2 linked regions of the Tamandua tetradactyla genome follow. The protein of the gene in region 1 binds, or shares a complex with, the protein of each later gene. Links are inferred from orthologs where the notes say so. Each region holds a gene or a part of one and is shown on either strand. Other genes may lie near its edges. The genes, in order: PEAK3 and YWHAB.

Region 1 (12,139 bases):
CCGCAGCTCACACCTGGGGGAGACGGTTCCCACCCAGGAGTCACTGACGGCCCCCCTCCCTGGAAAGCCCTACACCACACACCCAAAGCACACACTTATCCACACGTGTGATGCACACACACAGAGTCCCACGGTTCATAAGTGGAACACACATACCTCGCACCTAGCTCATGCCGCGAGCACGCAGGGCTCTCACGAGAGGATGTTCTCGGCTCACACTCAGACACACACCCTCCACGCTAGGATAACCAGAGTTCATATCTAGGACATACAGCTCACACCCAGGGCACAGTCCATTCACACCCGGGTCACACTCAGCTCACACCCAGACACAACTCACACCCGGATCACTCACAGATCACGTCCAGGACACAGCTCACACCCAGAAACACACACTGTGCCCCAGAGCTCACACCAGGAGCACACAGGGCTCTCCCTGGAGGGCACACAGGGCTCACACTTGGAAACACACCATTCATGCCGGGGATAACCAGAGTTCACACCTAGGATATGCACAGTTCACACCGGGTCGCTCACAGCTCACACCCGGGACATGAACAAGTTGCACCCAGGACACACTCAGCTTACTCCCAGCTCCTGCTCAGCATCCCCTGGTGGGACCCTGAGGCCCAGCCTCAGGTCTTGCTGAGCAGGTCAGGCCCACCCCGAGGGGCCCAGCACACACCTGCCCCAGCTCCCTTCCTGCTTGCTCTTGTCCACGGCCCCCAGACTCCCCCACACCAGGCCCCCACTGGCCGGCTGGGAGAAGCCATTCCCCCTTAGTGGCCTCTACCTCCCTTCCAGATGCCACTTGCTTCCACTCTTGGGACGGCTGATGAGGATTTCTCATGGGCTATCCCTCTGAAACAGGCCAGCTGCAGTGACCTCCAACCCTGGGCACCTACTGACCTAATGAAGCTGGCCCTGGACAGAGCCCCGGGGGCTAGTGTGCCCAGGCCAGTGCTCATGCAGGGAACAGGACCAGAGAGGGCAGGGGCTTCCAGGGCTTCTGTTACATTCACTAGCATGGGGCAGCGATGGGGACCAAAGCCAGGGAAAAGGTGTAGGCCACAGGGAGCCTGGACCCAGGTTCTGGGCAGGAAGTGACAGAGGGATCTTAGCCTCTGTGATTTCAGAGGGGGCGGATGAGCTAGGGCCAAAAGTGGACTTCATGGGCAGATTGTGGCTCAAATTAAAGAACTTTCCAAGGTCAATGCTCTGCAGATGGTGAGCTCCTTGTCACTGGCAGTAACCAAGCAGGAGCAGGGATTTTGCAGAATTCAGATACCAGACAGGGACCCCCATGACCCAGCCTCTCCAAGCCCAGTGCCTACACCCACCTCATCTCAGTCAGACAATGATTAGGCATTGTCAGGGGAAGGGGCTCAGGAAATGTATGTCCTCAGTGTCCTCATGGATTTTGTAGGAAGGCTCAAAGCCAGTTCCGCTCCCACCCGGTTGGATGACCTCGCTGGTAACAGGTCCACTCAGACCCTTGGTGTTGTCATCTGTGAAAGGATCTGAGGGTGCCCATTGCCTCATGCACAGAGGCCAGCCCATCTCCTGAATCCTGGATCCCTGAAGGCCCTCCTGAGATGAGCCAGAAAGAAAGCCGGATCAATTCTGGAGGCTTTGAACAAAAGATTCAAACTGACCTCAGAAGGGGACACCAGCCTGTTGCCACTCAGGCTGTGGCTGGGACCATTGGCCCTGCCCCCACAGCATAGACAGGCCAGCGGGACCGAGTGCCATGCTGCGGGGCACATTCACACAGCATCTGATCCCCGTGCCCAGGTCTCCCAGCTAGGGTGGAACCCCTGCCCCCGACCCCACACCTGGCAGGATATCACAAAGGGCGAGAGGGACACCCTGCAACCCTAAACTCTACCCTGATTTTGGCAGATCTCTCTTTTTTTTTTTCTCCCTTAACATCCTCTTGTCTTAAGTTGCCATGACAACCCCAAGGGACCCCGCCCCCCCCTCCAAATAAAACACAGACACACACAAATGACATCCAAAGTGCCTTTAGCATCATCAAAGACGGGTTGGGGGTGCATTCTCAGCAGCTTTAGGGTTTACAGAGTGTCAGCGAATTTGGATTTCCCAGCCCCTCTTCTCCCAGTCTCCTACCACCCTCCTGCTGTACATGGTTGGAATCCAATAAAAAATGAAATCAATCTGATAACTAACGTCAGATTCTTTAATTCCTGTGGGACGAGGAGGAGCAGGAGGCAAGGCTGGGGGATAAGGGGAGGCTGGGGTCAGGACAGCTGCCTGCCCCCAGCCCCAGAGCTGACCCTGAGTCCCAGGGTGTTTGTGGAATGAGATTAACAGGTGGGGAAAATGCTAGTGGCCACATGTCAGGAGCGCCCACTCTGTTCCCAGCACTGTTCCAGGTGCTGTGGGTAGTAACTTCCCTTCATGCTGACCATCAGCCCAAGAGCTGGGTCCTGTTACAATCCGGTTTTACAGAGGAGCAGAGGGAGAGTGGGGGTATGGAGGGGATTTTCCCATAGTCTCCCAGCCCTGGGGGTGGGAGTGCCTGAAGCAGAGCTGGGCTGTCAGGGAAACTCCCCAAACCCAGACCAGGGGCAGAGCCCAGGCAGGGAAGAAAGGAGAAGTGAGCACAGCTCCCTCCTTTGTGCCTCCTGGAGGGAGGGCAACTTCCTCATTTGGGGCTGGCAGGGGCGCAGGGGAAAGTCTCACCTCTTATGGCGGGGAGTCCCATGACAGGTGGGGGAAATTGAGGCAGAGCGGATCCTCCCAGCTGGAGGCAGGGCTCAAACCTCATTGGCCCCTGGTATAGAGGGAGAAGGCTACACTCTTTCTGGAAGGGGTTCAACTAAAGCCACGGCCAAGTGCAGCCCCTCTCGGGACCTTTGTGCCACCAACACGACCCTCTCTGGGCCTCAGTTTCCCCTTTGAACATGGGAAGCAGGCTCCTTTCTCTCCCCGCCCTGTGGGAGACTAAAGCAGAACAGAGACGTAAATTAAGCATCAGAGGCTACGAGGTGGCGCCTCCATGCCTGACTTCAAAGAAGCCTGGGGGGTTCTGGGGATGGGACCCCATGAAATCTCATTTCCACCTTCCCTCCTGCAGCAAAGGCTCTTCCAGGCGCTGTGGGTAGTAACTTCCCCGCCTGGGTTGTGGCGGGGTGGCATTCAGCAGCCAAGGTCCCACTAGGGTGGATCTAGAAGATCGGTGGCTGAAAACCCCAGGAGGGGACCCCTCAAAGGGTCCCCCAAAAGACAGGTGGGGGGTCCTGAACCTCTTCGCTTCAATTTCCCCTCCCAGATGAGGCTGGGGTGCTGGGTGGGCTGGCCCCAGTTCTCCTGCCCTGCAAGCGACCCCCACCTTTCCCTCTCACTCCCCAGCCCCCTTCTCTCTCAGTCAGCCCCTTTCCAGATGATTCTCCAAGCCGCATATATTTACTTGTCCCCTCCCTTCCTTCCTGGTCACCGACACTGTTCCCACCCATGGGCTGTGGCTTGGGGACCGAGGAGAACAAGCTCGGGGATCCTTTGCAAGGTCAATTAAGGGGGTCCCGGGGTATTTCCTGCCTTCTCTGGACCTCTCCCCAAAGAGAAACAGAATGAGGACCCCCAGCAGGAAACTCACACAAACTATTTGCCTTCATGGGCCTACTCCGGGGTCCTGGCCGAGGGCCTCCCATGGGGAGGTTTTCAGCCTGTGCGCACTGGATTTTCACTGTTTGTAGTTTTCCACTTATGACAGTTCCACATAGAGTGTCTTTTTTTTTTTTTTAATAAATGCAATGATTCCACTAAGAAACACATAGATGGGGCAAATTTCTAGAGATAGAACGTAGATTCCAAGTTACCAGGGGCTGGGGGGCGGGGCATGGGTGTGGAGTTAACACTTCACGGGTGCAGAGTCACTGTTGGGATGATGAAACCGTTTCGGTAATGGGTGGCGGTGATGGTGACACCACATTGTGAGTGTGGCTAACGCCACCGAGGTGTACACTTACAGATGCTCCAAATGGGAAATTTGATGTTGTATCTGTCGGCGCAATGAAAATTAAACCCCAAATCCACGGAACTGTACAATGCAGGAGCGAACCCTAATGTAAAGTGTGGACTTTAGTAAATAATATAATCATAATAATATTGGTTCATCAATTGTAACAAAGGTGCCACATGAATGCAAACGATTAATAACAGGGGTAAATTGGTTTATGAAATATACTGTGCAAACACAGGTTTTACAATGATCGTATGGATGCTTTATTTAAATCTGCCTACGGTTAAGCTCACTAAGATATCCATTTTTTGGTGGTTCTAGTGTTTTCTTAAATAAAAATATTTTTTAAAGAAATTAATAACAGGGAAAACTGGGTGTGGGTGGTACATAGGAGCTTTGTACGTTCTACAAAATCTTTCTGTAAACCTGAAACTGCTTTAAAAAATAAAAAAGGGTACACGGGTGGTTCAGTGGTAGAATATTTGCCTTACATGTAGGAGAAGCGGCTTCGATTCCCAGACCATGCACCCACCCCCCAAAATAAATATATAAAAATAAAAAAGAGGGATTCAAATGGCAAATTGTATGACACATACACACAAACACACACATACACACACTACCACAACTTAAGAAAAAAAATTCATTTAAGGGGTGGGGAGGAAAGTGAGTGAGTTGATTAATCTTTTATTTTACTCCAGCTAAAGCGGCTGTTCATGAACCAGTGAGTGGGAAACTTTCTTTTGCACTGGGGCACAGAGAGGCAGGGGTTGGTGGCGACTTGGCCAAGGTCACACAGCAAATCGGAACAGAACTGATTCTGACAGTCTGAGGGCTCTGGGAGGGGCGGGGCCGTGTGCTGGGGGCTTCTCAGGGGGTCACCAGAGAAAAGAGCCTCCCGGGTTGCATTTCACTGGTTGCATTTCACTGCTGTGGCCCCCCGCCCTCACCTAAGATGGGAAAGTCAAATGTATCTCACTCCCCAGCCTCACAGGGCTCCCAGCTCCCCTTCGAGGCTCCCCACCCTGCCACCAGCCCTGGAGTTTATTGCTTTGGGGTCAGTCTTCCTTCTGCCCAGAATGGATTCCAGGTCCACCCTGTCCTTGGATGGCAGGCAGGGTGTGTGGGGCCCCCTGGGAGGTGGGGAAGTGCTGCCGGCAGCCCCGGGCCTGCGGTCTAACTGTTGCTGGACATTTCCTGTTCTCTGCCAGTTCTAGATCAGAAACACCCGGGAAGCCAGGGGCTGCAGCTACTGTGAGCTGGTCCCAACGGTCCCCTCCCCCCACCTCCCCCCACCACAGTCACTCAGGACCTACTTCAGACACCAGCCCTGAAGGTAGGGGCCTCCTGGAGGGGGGACTGGGGCAGGGAATGGGCAGAAGATTTTGGAGCTTGGGGTGACACGGAGTGGGGGAGGAGGGCTGGCTTCTCATATCACCTCTCGGTGCCTTGGGCGGCTGAGCTCTGAGTTGAAGTCCCAGAGAGGGTCCCTGCGTAGCATCTCCCAGCCCCAATTGCCCCCCACCCCCGTCCTCTGGACTGGCTATTCCCAAATGTGCAGGTGACATTCTTATCTCAGGGAGGAGAAAATGGGCCCAGAGAGGGCAAGACACCCACCCGGGTCGCTCAGCAGAAGCACCGGGTGAGAGGAGCCAGAGTCGGGGTCCCCCTGAGGAGGGGCAGACCCTCCCCGGGGGGCACCAGCACTCCCGGGCTCCTGGCTCCCAGGCCCAGACCTGTACCCTCCTGCCCCGGTGTGGCGCTCACTCTGACCTTCCCTCGGTAGCATGAGCAGCCCCGAGCCGCCCGCTGAGACCCCGGGGCCAGGTGACCCCTCCAGGCCAGGGCAGCCCACTTACAGCAACCTCGGTGAGCGGCCGGGGGCGGGGCCAGACTGGGAGGGCGGGGCTGGTGAGGGGGCGGGGATGGGGGGGGCTGGTGAGGGGCGGGACCTGGGGGCGGGGCTGATGGTGGAGGGCGGGACCTGGGCGGGGAGGGAAGAGGTGGGTGGGGAGGGGCCTGGCCCCAGGGTTTCTGGGATTACCCTGCTGGCAAAAATGAGGAAACTGGGGGTTCAAAGAGGCCCAGTCCCGTGCCCAGAGCCTCGCAGGAAAATGAGGTCCACCTGGTGGGGTCAGGAGTCCTCTCTGGCCCTGACTGGTCCCCTCCTCATCTGTAAATCCGGGATGACACCCCGCCCCCCACTCATTTTTAGAGGTGGGGAAATCGAGGCTGAGGGGCGGGGTCAGGAGCCCTGGGTCCCACGTCTTGGACGCCCTCAACCCCCAAATCTCTCCCCGGACAGGCGAGGTCCGTGCCCACCTGCTGCCCTCCAAGGCCTGCCGCCCCCGGACCCCCGGGTCCCTCTCGAGCGACCCGCATCTCCTGCCCCCGCCCCTACCCAAGAAGACCCTGGCCCGCGCCCACTCCCTGCCCACCCACAAGACCCCCTTTCCCAGCCCCGCACGGGCAGGGCAGCCTCGGAGGCCTCTGCTGGAGTCCCACAGTGTGGACGAGAGCCAGGCCGGCGGCGACCAAGCCGGCCGCGCCGGTCCCTCCGCAGAGCTGACCTTCAGCACGCCCGACCCCGAGCTGGGTCACTTCCTCCGCGAGCTGCGGAGTCCCGAGGCCGCGCACGCGGCGCTCGCCGCCCGGCACCTGGAGGGTGTCCGTGCCATCCACACCCGGCTCCTTGCCCGCTTCATGGGGGGTCGCCCCGGGCCCTGCCGCCCGGGCCACAGCTTCCGCCTCCTGGACAGCTCGCCGTGCACCGACGGCGGGGACGCCCTCTACTACCGCGTGGTGCGCGTGGACGGCGAGGCCTGGCACATCCTGGCCGCCAAGGTGAGCCCAGGCCATGCGCCCCTTCCCCCTCCCGTAAGACCCTTCTCTGGGGTTTCCTCCATTTTCCATTTGAGGCATAAGCGGGGGGGGGGGGGGGGCGGGAATGTTCAGCCTGGGTTTCATTGCTTAATTTGCGGCTAACATTTGCATTGACAATTAACACTTGCATTGACAATCAGCAGTTGCTACCAAGTTTGTAAAAGGTGGAGTCACCTATGTTGGAATCACCTGGGAGTTCCCCACCCCAGCACATCTCAGGGGCCCAGGAATCTGCATTTTAATTCACTCCCCAGATGAATTCTCCAAGTTAGAAGGCCACAGAGTTCACCAGCGATAGCTGGCTGACAGCTGCACTTTATAAGTGCAAACATGTATTAAGCACTGCCTTTGTGATTTGCTCTATTCTAAGGGATTTTAGAGCCATTTAATCTCTAAAATTTAATCCACACAGCTACTTTATGATGTATTTCATAAGATGCTCCTTCTATGTGGACATCCAAGAAAAAGAAAATTATTCCTCTTTAAAATATCATCACCTGTAAGATGGATAACAATTTGGGGACAACTGCCTCAATTCGACAATAGGCATTGTCATGAGTTATTGCCAGCTCAACATCAAACGATGGTTCTCCACCCTAGCTCCATGCCAGAGGCATTTTGGGACAATTATTCTTTAAACATCCATGTTCAGCCATGTCCCCACCACCACCAGATGATTCTCATGTAATCCCCAGAGCTGATACGTCCCAAACCTTCTAGAGCTTTGCTGTCCAGTAACGCAGCCCCTGACCATTCATGACTGTGGATCGTTAAAAATACAGCCATAGTCTAGATTGAGATGTGCTAAATGCCCGATATATACCAGCTCTTGAAGAGTTGGTATCACAAATAAATAATAAATAAATAAAGTAAACCATCTCATTAATAAATTTTATTTTGATTCCATGTTGGCACTATTTTGGATAAACTGGGTGAAATAAAATATATTATTAACACCCGTTTCTTTTCACCTTTTGATTTTAACATGGCCACTGGAAAATTGTAAGTCCCATGTGTGGCCCGCTGGACATTTCTATTGGACAGCCCAGCTGTGCTACCCTATCTGACATCCCCTCTTTGGGAATTGAGGAGACTGACCAGGGGGGCAAGCAGGAAACTGTGACCCCCTAATCTAACCACTGTCCTTTCAGATCCAATCTTCCTTAGCAACTAACATCTGGCTTCCCGTTTACCCCCTCCTTCAGGAGGAGATGTAGGTTCCCCAAAGCTGTAGTGGGGAGCAGGGTGCAATGGCAAGCAGGAGAAATGTCAGGGCAGGTAGAGGAGGTGGGATAAACTGAGCTCTGGGGGGCTTCTGGGCTAGGTCCTAATGCTCCCCTCTGTCCCTCAGGTGCCCAAGCCCGAAGCAGAGGCCCCGGACCCATGGGGCATGGAGCTGCAGGCCTCCCTAGCCCCCCACTTCAACCTGCAGGGTCTCTGCGGCCTGCTGCCTGAGGGCACACTGCCCGCTGCGCCCTGGAGGGGCCCGGTGGTGTTAACGGCCGAGGTGCCCGAGCGCACCGTGGCCCAGTGGCTGGCAGAGGTCGGTGCACGGCGACCCGCGGGGTTCGCCCGGCCCGCGGCCCTGCTGCTGCTGCAATTAAGCGCAGCTCTGGAGCGCCTGGAGGCGCGGGGAGCAGCCCTGGCAGAGCTGCGGCTGGAGAACCTACTGCTGGCGGCGCCTAGGGGCTGCACGGGCGGCGGGCCCCAGCGCCTGCTGCTCGCCGACTTTGGCCGCGTCCGACCCCGGCCCCCGGGGCCTCCGGGCCCCCACGCGCCGCAGCTGGGCCGCCTGCTCCGCGCGCTGCTCGGCCCCGCCACGCCCCCGGCCACGCCCTTGGCCGCGGGCCTCGAGCGCCTGGCGGCCCAGCTGCCCCGTGCGCGCCCCTCGGCGGCCCGGATGCGGGGCGCACTGCAGGAGCTGCTTTGGGGGCCCGGGCCTGAGCTGCGCGGCCGCGGGGTGTCGCTCGGGTCCTGGCTGCAGGTGCGCCGCGCGCTGCTGGTCCTGCACCTGGCTGAGCGGGCAGCAGGCGGCCAGGCGCCAGGCCTGGAGGACTGGCTGGCCTGCGAGTACCTGGCCGAGGCCACCGAGGCCTCCCTGGGCCGTGCCCTGGCCCTGCTGTGGGACTAACCCTACCCAAGGGCCCACACGGCCATCCTAACACTCAACGGGGCTCAGGGCCTGCCCAAGAGGCAATTACTGCTTTCCAGTGTCTCCACCATAGAGCAGTGCCTTCTGGCAGCCAAGACTGGCTAAGAGGGCTGGGGTCTGGTCAGTGTCTCCTGGAGTCTGGACGCCTCCCCTCCAATACCTGCTTCATCCTTGGCCAGAGACATAGAACTAAGGCCCCCCTAAGAGTGCAGGTGCTTCCAGGCACTGGAAGCACCTGCTCTGTGTGCTGCCCGGCCCTGCCACACCCTTGGCCACCAGTCTTGCAGGCCTGATGGCCCAGTTGCCCCATGTGTGCTCCTTGGAGCCCTATGCCCCCTGATGGGGTGTGTACAGTGCCCTTCTCATGCCAGGGCCTCTAGCCCCTCTTCCGATGTCTGTGTGTGGTGGTGGTGGTGGGGGAGAACCCTCCCCGTCCAGAAGAAGCCAGGGCCCCCTTCCAGCTCTGATATCTGAAGATCACTGTTTCAATGGCTTCTGGAAGCCCTTCTTCCAATGCCGGGGTCCAAGGCCCACCTGGCTCTGGAGGACCTCCTCATGCTGATCACAGCCAATGAGTGACTCTGCAGGTTTAGACCAACCCAATCCCTCGTTAGGAACTGTCTCCAGGGGCAGGTTCCTCAAACCCCATGCCAGCCACATTCTGCCCAGACAGCCCACCATGAAGTCTAAACTCCCCTGTCTCAAGATCTCCCCTGGGTTCACAAGTCCTGCCCCTCCCCCACTCTCTCCACTCACCCGGGCCTCCTTGCTTTCCTCCATGACATGTGCAATTCTTTCCAGCCTCTGAGCCTTTGCACAGGCAGTTCTCTTGGCCAGACTGTTCAAACCCTACCTCGTTAGAGAATTCCTTTAATCCAATAAAATTGCCCCTCCAGGGCCCTTCTCTAGCCCCTCACCTTGCTTTATTTCCCCCAAAGACCACCTGCAAGTATTTATTCGTCTCTTTATCTGTTCACCTACTATCCACCCTGTCCAGCAGGCTGTGAGCCCTGAGAACAGGCTCTGGGCCTGGCATACAGTAGGTGCTTAAATAGTATAGGATGGTGGAATGAACAGGCACAGACCAGACGCATCAAGGACCTGAGGGAGAGACACGGATGTAGCTTTACCCCTTCGAAAAGGGTGCACAGGAGTTCCAAGAGGCCTGTCTGCTCTTGCCTAGGCCTCTGCCCTGGCATCCAGGATCCACAATCCCCCTCCATTCAACCACCACGCCAACCCCACTGTCCCCTTGGGACCTTTCTAACTCCGATATGACCAGGCCCCTCTTCTGTTCAGATACCTCCCATGGCTCCCTAGCACCCTCAGAATACACACAGGGCTCCTTCAAAGGCCTTGCTAGCTCTCCTTGGACAACCTCCCACCACATGGTACATTCTGAATCCAGGCCTTTGCCCAAGTTGTTTCTTCCGTGGGAAACTACACCAGCATCCACCAATTCCTTTGCTTCAGACTTCTATTCATCCTTTGGTGTCCCAGTGCCAATGCTCTTCTTGATCCTTCCTTTGCCAACAGGGACTGGGGGCATCTCTATAAAACTCTATCTCCCCAGACCTTTGAAGCCTGACCCATCTGTCTGTTACCTCCCCTGGTGCCTTAATCCCACCAAGCCCCTTTCCTCTCCTGCCCGTTTCCCAGCAAAGTGCAGTGACTGAAGCAGTCCTGGGGCGTTTGTTCCAGGGCTGCCCCTATGTTCCAGCCCTAGGTCTGGTCTTTGGCCTTAAACTCTCACTCACCCTCAGGGCCTTCCAGGCAGGGCCACCTATATTGTGCCCCACCCCCTGCTGGGGCACACAGGCTCCAGCTCCAGGGTGCTTTCTGCACAAAGCCCCCCCTCCACCTCAAACCCTACAGCCTCACTCCCAGCTCCACCCCTGGTAGACCTCAGAGATAACCTCACCAAGGACCACCAGGAAGAGGGCACAGCCGGGCAGACCAAGTTCACTCTGGACAGCAGGAAGGCGAGTGGCTGGAGAGGTATGAGCCTCCTACCTACACCAAGTGGTCCTGGGTCTGTCTCGCAGGCCCCACCTGGGCAGACGGTAGGAAGGCAGCTGTGGATAGAGGTGGCCAGGTGGCACCGGGACCCAGAAATAGCCAGCAGTCCAGGGCGGATCCTACACCCTTCCTGTCCAGGGCCCCAAGAGAATCTTTGAAGATCCTACCAGCAATAGCACAGGGAGCCCCCACCCCTTTACCACCCACTTTGGTTCCCACAAGGGCCACCCCACAAAGACAGAAGCTCAGAAAGGGAACGCGCAGGACTGAGGCAGCACAGGTCTCGAGGTGCAATCGCTTTTATTCTGATTTGAGAGCAGAAGGGTAGGTTAACACCTGTCTTTCCAAGGTAAGAGACCTTAGGCCTAAGACTATTTCCAAAATACTTCAAATAAGAAAACTCCTCCTTCAAAGTACAAGGATAATCTTAATCATCTTAAACCAGCAATAAAAAAGTAAAATATAAATTTTTATTTAGAATTAAAGCAAATACTTCAGTATCACAAACACAATATTAAACTTCAAGAAATATACTGCTAATTTGGAGTGAGCGTTTATTTGCACAATTACATCATGCGGACAAGCCCGGAAGAGTCTGCCGTGCCACCTCCCGCCAGCACAGCCGTGGCCCATCGCGTCTCCCCAGAGCGCAGCATTAAGGGAGGCCGGCACCAGACTCCCCCAGGCAGCAGCGAAGCTCTGGGGACGCATGCCGACACTACTCCTCCTCAGCCGAGGAGTCCCTCTCAAACGTGTAGGCCATGAAGCAAGCGTCGGGTCTCTTGGGGACAAGGGGATGCCCGGGTCTCACAATCTCAAAGCCCAAAAAGCTGAAGGTGCGGAGCAGGGCGGCTGTGGGGGAAACAGGCGTCAGAGCCTGCCAGGTGGGGCCTACGAGGACCCAGGGCTCCGAGCAGAAGGGGAATGGGATCGGGGTACAGGGTGAGGGGAGGAGCAAGAGGCTGGCTGAGCGGGTAGGGCCTGGGGGTCTCCCAGCCCTTGCACTGCCCCTCGGGAGTCTGAACAGAGCCCACCCCATGTCCTCTGCGGGGGCCCCCTCCCCACTGCAGGTCTGCTCATCATGGGCCCAAGTCATCTAC
Region 2 (11,384 bases), on another chromosome or scaffold:
CTGCAGAGCTGTGTGATCACAAATGGTTTATTATTTTTTTAAGCTGCCGCATTAGTGGTCATCTGTTCTAGCAGCAATGGGAAGCTAGTGTTCCGTGGGTAATTAGTGTCAAGAATATAGAAAACTAATGAGACAAAATAAAGAGTCAATGGCTGAGAGATTCCAAACAGAGTCGAGAGGTTATCCTGGAGGTTACTGTTATGCATTAAGTAGATATCACCTTGTTAGTCAAGATGTAATGGAGAGGCTGGAGGGAACTGCCTGAAAATATGGAGCTGTGTTCCAGTAGCCATGTTTCTTGATGATGACTGAACAATGATACAGCTTTCACAATGTGACTCTGTGATTGTGAAAACCTTGTGTCTGATGCTCCTTTTAGCTACCTGATCAACAGACGAGTAAAACATAGGGAATAAAGATGAATAATAAGGGGAACAAATGTTAAAATGAATTTAGAGTGAAATGCTGGTGATCGGTGAGGGGGAGGGGTGGGGGCATGGTATGTATGAATTTTTTTCTGTTTTCTTTTTATTTATTTTTCTGAATAGATGCAAATGTTCCAAGAAATGATCATGATGATGAATACACAATTATGTGATGATATTGTGAATTACTGATTATATAGGTAGAACAGAATGATCAAAAGTTACGCATGTGTATGTTTGTTTGGTGTTTTTTGGTATTTAAAAAAAATGAAATTAATAATAAAAAAAGAGTATAGAAAACTGAGCAAGGAAACAATAAACAAAAGCTTGATTACTCCTAGGGAAAACAACAAGTGGTACAGTCAAGGGAAAGCAATCATAGAACGCTACCAGGCAAGGCTGTCACTCGTGCTTCTCTGGTCACAAAGACGTAAACACTAAATATTGATCGAACTAAAATTATCCCATAATTATTTTCAAAAGGTGCATGTGGAGGGGGGCAGAAAGTAAGCATTCACCTGCTGGATTTGGAGGGTGTTGCCGTGTGGAATGTGTGACAGAGAGAACTAATCTTCATATACCATTGCGGCGTCCCTATAGATAATGCTGAAAGTAAGAAAGTAAAGGAATTGCAGTTGAGTTTGTTATTTTGGGATAAATTGCAGAAAGTGGTTGTTTAGAGAAGCAGAATGTGGGGAGGAGGGTGGGGAATTTTTTTTTTTAACATAACAAGTCATGTAGAACTTTCTCTTTTGACTGTGTGTGTCTTAGCTTTAATGCGAATGAAATTTCATGTTTAAGGCAATTGTTAACTCCAGAGGAAACAGACAAACAAAACACAAAACACATTTCAAGCAAGAAAATACTACAAAATACAATATGTACAGTATAGTAATATAATATAGTATAATATGATATAAATGACTATATCAGGAGAATGATAGAGTGGTATATGTTTAACAGAGTGACTTTAGAGAGTAAAATCTTCTAGTCCACAGTAAGAAGTGAATAAATAATATCCAAAATTGAAAATCTAAAAGCTATTTGTTTACTTATAAAGAAGTAGCTCTATGTGCATGTTATTTAGAAGTTGGAGGAAAGTAGCAGAAGAAACAGCTAAAGGAATTGAAAATAATTGCTCTGTCCCCCTCATCAGGGGAACAGTGGACCAGGGGGCCCACCTTTTTTCACAAGAAAAAGAGACCTACTTGACTTAAACTATGTATATGTTCTACTTTGATAAAAATAAGAATTTACTATACTTCATTTTCGAAGATGCCATTGATTTTAAGAGGCATTATTTTTTATGTATCCCTAAGAGCGTGAGTGGGAAAGGGAAATGCTGCCAATCAAACTAGGATATTTCATTGACAGGAAAACACATCACAATTTCAGAGATAGCAAAATATGAGAATGTATATACTTTAGAATCTATAAAGTATAGTGATTTAATTAAAAAATAGATTATTATTATTATTATTATTGGTACTAAGTTGTTCTCTGGCCCATAGTACATAGATAAAGAGAATCCAGTTTCTGAACCCCGAACCAGCCTGGCATTAGACTTTGAGCCTACTGTCCAGCCCCACCTGCGGTGTTGAATGAAAGCGGCAGGACTGCCTTATATGAAGCCTCACTTGGGGTGGGTTCAATTCCCACTTTCCCTCAAATTCTCATACTATTACCATGATCATTTGCCTCACAAGATGGGAGGACGGTATTTCAATTTGGGGAACTGATAATTACAGCTGGCAGTTTTTCAGAGGGGCAGACAGTGCTTCCCTAGCCTTCACTCATTCAGTAAACATTCATTGAGCATCCTCTGTACCAAGCCCAGTGCTTGATAGACCCTCAGTCCTGCCCCCATTAACTGCCAAAGTGATCTTTTTAAATTGTTCTAATCTGTTCATTCCTGGCTTAAATCCTTTGGTGATTGCGCAGACCTAAAAGACAATAGGTAAATTTCCTTAGTGTGACACTCAAGGTTCTCCAGAAGCTGTCCTTAACTATCAGCCTTTATCTCCTGTTTCTCTGTCATAAATACCTCAGTTCAGTTAGATGACTCCTTATTCTCCCAACATGCCATGTTCAATAGTTCTAAAGAGGTTGAGTTTGTTGTCAACATTAAAAAAAAACAGATTTCACATAGAAATCTACATTTCTGCCTTGCCTGGCAAGAAATATCTGTGTGGCAATAATTGGCTGGAGCCAAGGAGTGGCTTCTCCGTCTCCATTGGCTGTGGGCTTTCCAAAGTGCCAGGGCCCCCTTTGGACCTGGGCCTGCTTTCCTCACTTATGTTATCTGTCTTACAGGCATTTGTGTCAGTGGCCCCTGTGCTGAATAAACCACAGGGTTTGAACACTGTTCTATATCGCCATTTAACTTGAACAAGATTGAGAGGAAGTGTTGTGGATTTGTAATCAAAACCACTGGATTTGAACCCTGGAAAGATTTCCTGGTGCAAAACCTTCCCCATGGGGACCATACTTTGGCAGACCAAAGACGGGTAAATCAGACTGCTGCAGTCTCTAAGCTCTAATGTAACATGACTGTGCCTCATGCCCACATCCAGAAAATAGCCTAGTAGTCCAGATGGCTCAAGCTGATTACACCACAATTGACATCATCAGTGTCTTGAGGGAACAGACGTGACTTTTACAAAGCATCCTTGGCTGTCTGCTGATGGGTTGCATCGAATAGCTCCTTTCACTATCTCTGCAGTCTAGGCCAGGTGTCAGCAAACAGCAGCCCGCAGTCCAAATCCTACCCTATTCCTTTTGTAAATAAAGTTTTATTGGAACACAGCTATACCCATCTGTTTATGTATGATTTGTGACTGTTTTTGAGCTATGGTGGCAGAGTTGAGTTGTTGCAACAGAGACCATACTGCCCACAAAGCCTAAATTATTTATTATCTGGCCATTTATGGAAAAAGTTTGCTGACCCTTAGCCTAGACATTTGAGAGGATCTTCAGTGCTCCTTGCTTTCCAAAATCTCCTGAGCAGAGGGCTCTCTTTTCTACATTGCTCTGTCTTTGTTTCTTTGACTTCACTTATTTTTTTTAACAAATGCATCTGGACTAGAAATACAGAGATGAGTTCAAAATTGTCTTCCCAGTGGGGAACTCGCCTCCTATTGTGATACAGACATTCTAGCACACACTACTGGTTGCTCCATTACACCCTTCTTAAGTCCTAGCAGAACCTCAAATTTGTTTATTTATTTACCTTTTCTCCATGCTTACCCCATCCTCCACTTACAGCTCTAGGGGGATGTAAGGGCACTTAATGGTACAAGGGCAATGCCATTTTCCTTGCCAGGGTTTGGTTTTGGGATGGGTTTGTGAGTTTATTCCAATTAAAAATATGTGAAGAGAAACATACTGGTCTGGAGAATGGGGAAGAAAGTTTTGGGAAGTCTCTTTGCTCCTGTGATGGTTTGGAGATTTGTACCTCAGAAAAACATGTCCATAAACTTAATCCATTCCTGTGGGTATGAGCCCATTGTAAGTAGACCCTTTGATAAAATTACTTCTATTAAGGTGTGGCCCAACTCAATTGGAACAGGTCTTAATCTGATTACTGGATTCCTTTATAAACAATGAAATTCATAGAGTTAAGAGAGAAAGCCACAGAGGGAACAGCCAGAAGCTGAACATCAGTAGAAGCTGAAAGAGAAGGGGAACCGGAGAGGCCGCCATATGCACTGCCATGTAACAGAGAAGTGCAGGACCAAGGATCACTGGCAGCCAGCCCGGTTCCCACGATGCTAGGAAAAGAATCACCTTGATGATGCCTTGCTTTGGACATCTAGCCTCAAAACCATGAGCCAATGAATTCCCACTTTTTAGGTCAACTCACTGAAAGGTATTTGCTTGAGTGGCCAAAGAAACTGAAATAGCTCCAAAGAGAGAGGACTATATGAAAAGTGTCTCTTCTGTCTTTGGACATTATCATGTATGAATGTGAAACCCAGAAATGCTGCTGCCATTTTGTTAATACCCTGATGATGACAGCAGAGAAGAGAGATAGAAAGAATCTGGGTCCTAGATGACATTGATGAATGTATGAAATGACCAATCTAATGGCTACACTCTTTCTGAACTTTCTGTTATGTGAAACAGTAAATTTCCTTAAAGTTTGAGTCACCTTATGACAGGTTCCTGTTATTTGCAATTTAAAGCATATTATCTGATAGACACAAAAAGAGATAATAAAAGACAGGGTGACCATTGCAATCATAGAAAAATATGTGCAGGGTATTATAGGAATCTAGGTGAAGTGCACCTAACCCAGACTTGGGGTGTTGGTAGAGAGCAGAAAAGACTTTCTGAAAGAGATGATATTGAGCCTTAAATTCCACCAGGAATGCCTCACCAGTTCAAGGCAGAATTTTAAAAAGATTACATAAAGCTAAACACTACGGTGTTTAATAGCTGATGGATGTCCAACTCACCACCAGACTGCATGTTTCCCGAGGACAGAAATAGTCTTATGCTGTATTTCAGTAAGGAGAAAGAAGAGATGATGAAGGCCTCCTTACTTTTTCCTTTCTCCTACCAGACTGTAAACTTCAAGACAACAAGACCTTGTCTGTGTTGTTCTTTGTTGGGTCCCCTGCACTAAGTGCAAAGCCTGGGAATATAGTAGGTGCTCAATAAATATTTTTTAAAAGCATGAATGAGAGGGATAGGGAGCAGAAGTGAGGGGCATTGTGAAGAAATGGGTTGACGAGTCAGCTATCACAGAGCATTAATGGTGAGAGCTGTCATGGGGATGAGGGAACATGGGAGGCCTGTTTCCTTCCCAGAAGCTTCCTCTGTGAGCCTCGGGAAGTACATAGTGAAGACATCATGCACATAAGCCTCTTAAAATGACCTTCACGGGTTCGAATGGCGCTACACGTGGCTTCTTTGGTCTTCGAAATGAAGAAATAATATGAACCTTAAAGGGTTGAAGGGAAGACTAAGTGAAAACTTAGAGATGAGCAATTTCTGTCCTTCCCTCAGGCGTGTCTCCCAAAGCACACAGCATGAGGGGATGGACTTAAGTCCCCGATCCCGTGAGTATTACTCTTGGGATGGGGTGGGAACCGATGACCCTCGGAATCTCTAGGCCTTCCGCGGCAGGACAACCCTCGCCCTCAGGTCCACGTCCCATCCCACCCCAAACTCCTCTCCCAGTGTTTCTTGTTCCCTCAGGTTCATTTCTTGACCATCGCCCCCAGCTCCGCCCTGTCCCCTCCCACCTCCTCTTCCCGCTCGCGTCTTCATTTCCGCTCCTTTCCCCACCGCCGCCTCCTCCTAGCATCCACCCCGGGCCCTCCGCCCTCCCCACCCGGTTGCAACCCTGACTTGGCCTCTTCTTCCTCCTCGCTCCATCAGCGCCCCTCTCGGGCTGCCGGGGCAGCCCCGTGTCCCCGTTGCCCAATGAGGAAACGGCGCAGGGGTGGGGCGGGGCTTGGGCCAAAGCGGAAGTGGTGACCGGAGCGGAAGTGGAGCTGCCGCCACTGCCGCCGCCGATTCCCACCCCGGGTAGCCGCCGCCGCCGCCGCCACCGACACTGCCGCCGCCGCCCGAGGAGCAGGCTTGGGAAGGAAGCGGCCACAGCTCTCGGGGCTTCGCTCGTTAGCGCTTTTGCCTCCTGCAGCCCTCCACGGTGAGTGCGGCGCGGGCCCTCCTTAGGCCCCCGGGGCCTTAGCCCGAGACTCCCCTCCGCCGGCGGCTCTGGAGGTCCGCGGGTGGGCCCCGGGGGCAGCGGCGCGGGGCCTCCTCAGCCCCTCGCGGCCGCCTGCGGCGCGGTCCTGCTTCTCTTCGGCCCCTCCCTGTTTCCGGGGCTGGGCCCTTTCCCTCTTCTGGAGGCCGGGGCCTCCCTCGCTGCCTGCGGCCCTGCCCGGCGGGCGGGGTGCGGCTCATCACCGGGCCGGAAGGGAAGGCTGACCCTCCCAAATTTCGATCTTCTCACGACCTCACCCCGCGCCTTGGGCGGAGAAAACTGGTCCTTTCAACCCTGTTATCCCTCTCCTCGCTTTCTGGTTTCCGTAAATTAAAATTTAACCAAATGCGGGAGGGTTGTTGAGCTCCAGTGCCCTGCTTGATTTCCTCTGGGTGAGTAAGGGGTTTAACCTTGGGAGACAGGAAGACGTAACCCCCCCCACCCCCACCCCCGCTCCATTTTGCAGTAAAGCCATTTCATCATCTTTCACTGATTATGGGGCCTGGCGGGATCCTACATTTCCTGGGAAGCACAGGGTTGAGGTTTGAATTAAAAAAATGGCATTTATTGGAGCCGGTTACTGAATCAGGTTGGATCCCCAGGAAAAAATATCAGGGACTGAGAATCAGAGTTTTTTCCCCACGGTATTTACTATCATTTAATCACAGATTCTTTTGTGTCCTCGCCCCAAATTCCCCCATACTGTATGTTAGCACGTTTTTTGGTCTGTAATTTGCCTGGTGGCTACCCTGATGGCTGGGAAACTGTGGGAGTGATTTGGCCCCCCTCCTTTTTTTTATAGAAGATGACATTTCTTTAGAAATGATGAGTACATTTTTGACAGATGTGTCTTTTGCAAATGGAGATCGCTCGTGTAATGGGGTTTTCAAAGGTGTCAGCATTGGTAAGACAGGTTGCCAGCCTTCTTTAAAAATGTATGTCTCTTATCCTTGCCCTCACTGCATTTCTTTTTGGTAAGGCTAGAAAGCATCAGACCTTGATTTTACTTGTCTGATATGGGAGATGGAATTTGGCAAGATGCTTTTTGAACATATAGAGTCAGACAGCCGTAGGAGCCAAAACAAAAAGGTGAAGGACTTGTAAGAATATGAAAATTGTCATCACTTCTCATTCTGTCTCGGTTCTTGAAACCACACACATATGTAGTTTATAGAATTGGACATGTGGCTACTCAGCCTTTTGCATTTTCCTGCTGGAAATTTCTATGTATAAATTTTACTTGACTCATACTGAGTTTCTTCTTGACTGTTTTCCAGTGCACCCCCTTTCCTGTTTGAGACATCTTGGTAGTCTGGGCCCCTCATTTTTCTTGAATCCATGCCCTTAGTAGCTCGCATGATGATGAGGGTAAAATCTGTCAGTTTTATTGGGCTTAAGCTAGAATTTAAGTTTAGCCTTCAAAATGGAGGGCCAATAATCTAGTAGCAACTGCTGAATTATTTTCCTAGCCTTTTCCTTCAATGAGATAAGAAACCATTCACCTGCCTTATAGATGAAGTCTTCATGAGAAATGAGGTGATTTGACCTAGACCACACACCTAGTTTTTAGATTGAATATCCTCTTTCAGCACTAGCAAATATTTATGGACTGTCAGCCCTTGGAGTATGACTCCTACCCTATAATTTTCAGTATATTTCCCATCGTGCATTGCTTGTGTTATGTTGGAGCCATTTTAGAATTGGAGCTGTATAGATCTGGAGGCAGTCTCCATAAAACTAGGCTGAGCAAATTCCCGTGATGCTAGTTCCCTAGGCAGTCTCCAAAGATTTGAGCCACTGCAAAAAGTACATTTTGTCCATTTGGCTGTGCAGATACAGAAGCAGAAAAAGCACTCAACCTAGAGTCAGATAAATTTGAGTCAGGTCTTACTGAATAACATGCCTTATCTTAGTATGTTATTTAATTTCTGTTTTTTAGTTTCCCTATCTCCAGAATTGTCCTGAAATCTTTTTGCAAACTGTAAATTGTTAAATATAAGCTTTCCATTTTGTTGTTTTTTTAATTAGAATTCACTGTTAATGGCTTCTTATGCTATTTGCATTCCAAGATCCAACTCTGATTTGCACGTATGTTTCTTTTAAAAATTGATATATTATTAAAGAATTTTACTTGGTGTATATTATCTGTAGTCATTCTGAGTCCATTTTCTCATCTGTACAATGGGAATGGTAACACAGTCTTTAGGGGATGTTGTGACAAACTCTAATAAGCTTCTGGCATATAGCAGGTATTTAGTAAATGTTATTTGACCATATTCATGAACACTTGAATAGATGTATAGAATCCATCCATTTGTGATTTATTCACCAGCCAATAAGTATAAGACAATTAGTTTGTGATAATAATAGCTACCACTTAAATCACTTCCTATGTGCCAAGCTTTGTTGTAAGCACTTTACATATATTAACTCAGTTTTTCAAAGCAGCCAACAGTAGTTAAATACTGTTGACCCCATTTTACAGATAGGGAAACTGAGGCACGGAGAAGTTAAATAATTTTCCCCTATTCACACAGCTGGTAAGTGCTAGAGCCAGGAATCAAACCCAGGCAGTCTGGGTTTGTTCTAAGCATCCCTGGTGGAGCAACACATGTATCCCTTCCCTGTGAATACCATTTAATCCTTATTTTTTTCTTTATATGTATTCTATTAAAGTAAATGTGTTTGAACAGGAATTTTAACTGTTTTTGTACATAGATATAATGTAATTTATTGGAAGGGAAATACAGCCATTCTAGCCTGTAGCGATTGCAGAATACTGCTGGTGTACATCAGAAAGTAACCTGGTGAAAAATCCAGTTTTTCTAGTATTTGCTTTATACTAGGGAGAAAGTTCATTGGTTATGTTGTGGCACACTGTTTAACTTACCCATTCCTAGGTTTTTCACCTAATGGAATTTGGTCAGAACCAGCATTAATTTTTGTCATAGTGCTTTCTCTGTAGATTTTTAGATTTTCCATATTTTGTTGGAAGAGATAAGAGAATGTCTACGTAAGTAGAGAGTAAGTTCTAAATTATAACATTCTGTTATGCTACTTACTTTTTCTGTGGCATGAAACTAAGCCCTTTTCCTTTAAATGGGGATAGTTTAAAGAATGAACTTAAAATTTACTATTAAAGTACTGTAAGTTCCTTGTTTCCTTCAATTTTTAGGGTAAGTGGCAATTCATGCTTGCTAAGAGTCAAGGAATTATAGTGATGTAATAGTACCTTCCAAGCTTTAAACCATTTTGCTTTTTACTGGAATATGATTCTAGAAGTCCTCTGTTTGTCATGATAGAAAAATGAGCAGTTGGAACTGGATTCAAAGGGAATTTTAGGAGGGAAATACTTAAGGAGGAAATAAAAACTAGCAATGTGTGTGCTAAAAGCCAATTCTTAATGTAGTAGGTAGACCCTTATAGTCAGCAGGCCCTCACCCCTCCTTGCACAACCAAGCAGTCTACCTCCTGGTTAAGAATTCCTCAAATTCCTCTGAACGGTTGGAACTACACGTAAACAGGAAGTTTGCCCCAAGAACCGGTAAAATTACACGTGGACAAGGCAAGATAAATTCCTGTGGAGAAACCCCTCCCCTAACCGCTCATCCACTTCTGTAAACCCAACCTCAAGTCTTTCCCAATTTAAATCAGCCAGTCGTTTTCTTCCAACCCCACCACTTCGTACCTTGTCTTTAATAACGTCATCCTGACTATAAAAGGTTTTGTGACCTTTTGTTTGGGGCTCAGACTTTCGAGGTGACTCGGCTGGGCCCTGTGTGCACGGACGAATAAAATCTTGCTTCCTGAAGCTCCGGTGCCTTGGTCCTAATTCCTTCGGTATTCGCGCAACATTTCTGAGGGCACATCCTGGACCGAGAGCTGGTGACATTATCACCTCCCTCGCCCACGGCGGCGACGTCGCCTGGACCAGAGACCCGACGGAATCCAGTACCAGCACTGGGGATTTCCCCGTCTTTCGGAATCCCGGCCTCCCCGGCTGGGGCGCTCATCACCGCCGGAGCGGCGACGGATCTGGGACAGTTTCAGGAACCAGATCGCTGGGAGCACCACCCATCTGGCTGGTAAGCACTTGGGTGTGTCATGTTATCAGCCCACTCGTAGAAGGCCAGGGGCCTGAGTGGAAGGGTGGACTGATGAACCCCTAAGACTCTCTGAGTACCAGTCTCCATGGTACAGGACCAAGGGAAATGGAAGTCTTCAGATTCGGTTTCAGGAAGGGCGGTGTGGGAGGAATGTCGATTGAATGTGCGTGACTGAGTGAGTGGTAGTCCTGGGCCACAGGAGCCGAGCACCAGGCCACGAGTGAGTTTGGATTCTGCCAGTCCATGGTGATCCTCATACCTTTTTAAGGGTGGGCAACCTCGAAATAGGGGCTGGCTGGGCATTTATACCAGACCGCCGAAGCCAAGAGATGCCCACTGTTCTTGCTAGGGAGTGACCAGCCCGAATGAAGTGCTAGATTATCTAAAATCTCTTTGTTCTTTGTAAACCCTTCCCTAACCATTGGCTCCGCCGATATAGGGTGGGGGGCAGGAATCTAGTGAAACACTGTTGCGGTGCATGATGTCCAACTTTAAAAAGGCTTTTGCTGATGATTAGGGAGTCAAGCTGACCCCCGGTCAACTCAGAAAATCCTTTATGCTAGAATGGCCCACCTTTGGGGTAGATTGGCTATCTGAAGGAACTTCTTAGTTAGAAAAGGTAAAGGCAGTTTATAGTGTAGTGTTAGGGACACTTGGACACCCAGATCAGTTTCCGTACATTGCCACCTGTCTGGAGATTGCGAAGAAGAAGCCAGGGTGGATAAAGACTTGCCTTTATGGACAGTGCCAGGTGTTTCTTGCCCAAGTGGTAGAGAAGTCTTTCAGGGAACCAGGCGGCAAGCCCAAGGTCCTAGTTTTATCCAGTGCACCAGAAGAAGAAAACCTCCTGCCTTACATCATACCACCAACACCTGTGGCCCTGCCAAGCTCCTCCACAGCGACCTCCGTCCCCCCTAAGCAACCCAGAAGTATCACCTGAGGCTCCGGAAAGCCTGGCCATCCCTGGACTCCCTGAGCCGCCGCAGCTATGGCCCCGGCCAGGTGCGGCCCCTCCACCTGTGGCCACGACCTTAATGCCTCTGAGAGAAACCTGAGGACCTCCCTATGTCAGTGCTCAGGGAGACTATCAGGAAGGGAGAAGAAACTTCATATATTTTTCCGTCACTCCTGCTGACC

What was found.
Region 2: the proteins of PEAK3 (region 1) and YWHAB are in contact, whole or in part, in a cryo-EM structure (PDB 8DP5), measured with the Homo sapiens proteins. The link is inferred for Tamandua tetradactyla from reciprocal best matches to the Homo sapiens genes PEAK3 and YWHAB. Residues at the interface, in NP_940934.1 of Homo sapiens: Arg66, Thr67, Gln68, Ser69, Leu70, Pro71, Thr72, Arg73; in NP_003395.1 of Homo sapiens: Val48, Lys51, Asn52, Arg58, Lys122, Arg129, Tyr130, Gly171, Leu174, Asn175, Val178, Glu182, Ile219, Leu222, Asn226, Leu229, Trp230.

Annotation. Positions count from the first base shown.
Region 1 is NC_135337.1:80,580,915-80,593,053, forward strand, and holds PEAK3 (protein PEAK3), read left to right. Parts: upstream 1-5,772; coding exon 5,773-5,854; intron 5,855-6,290; coding exon 6,291-6,829; intron 6,830-8,219; coding exon 8,220-8,999; 3' UTR 9,000-9,989; downstream 9,990-12,139.
Region 2 is NC_135327.1:7,317,136-7,328,519, reverse strand, and holds the start of YWHAB (14-3-3 protein beta/alpha), read left to right. Parts: upstream 1-5,919; 5' UTR 5,920-6,084; intron 6,085-6,376; exon of another isoform or gene 6,377-6,533; intron 6,534-11,384. UniProt on the Homo sapiens protein: Adapter protein implicated in the regulation of a large spectrum of both general and specialized signaling pathways. Binds to a large number of partners, usually by recognition of a phosphoserine or phosphothreonine motif.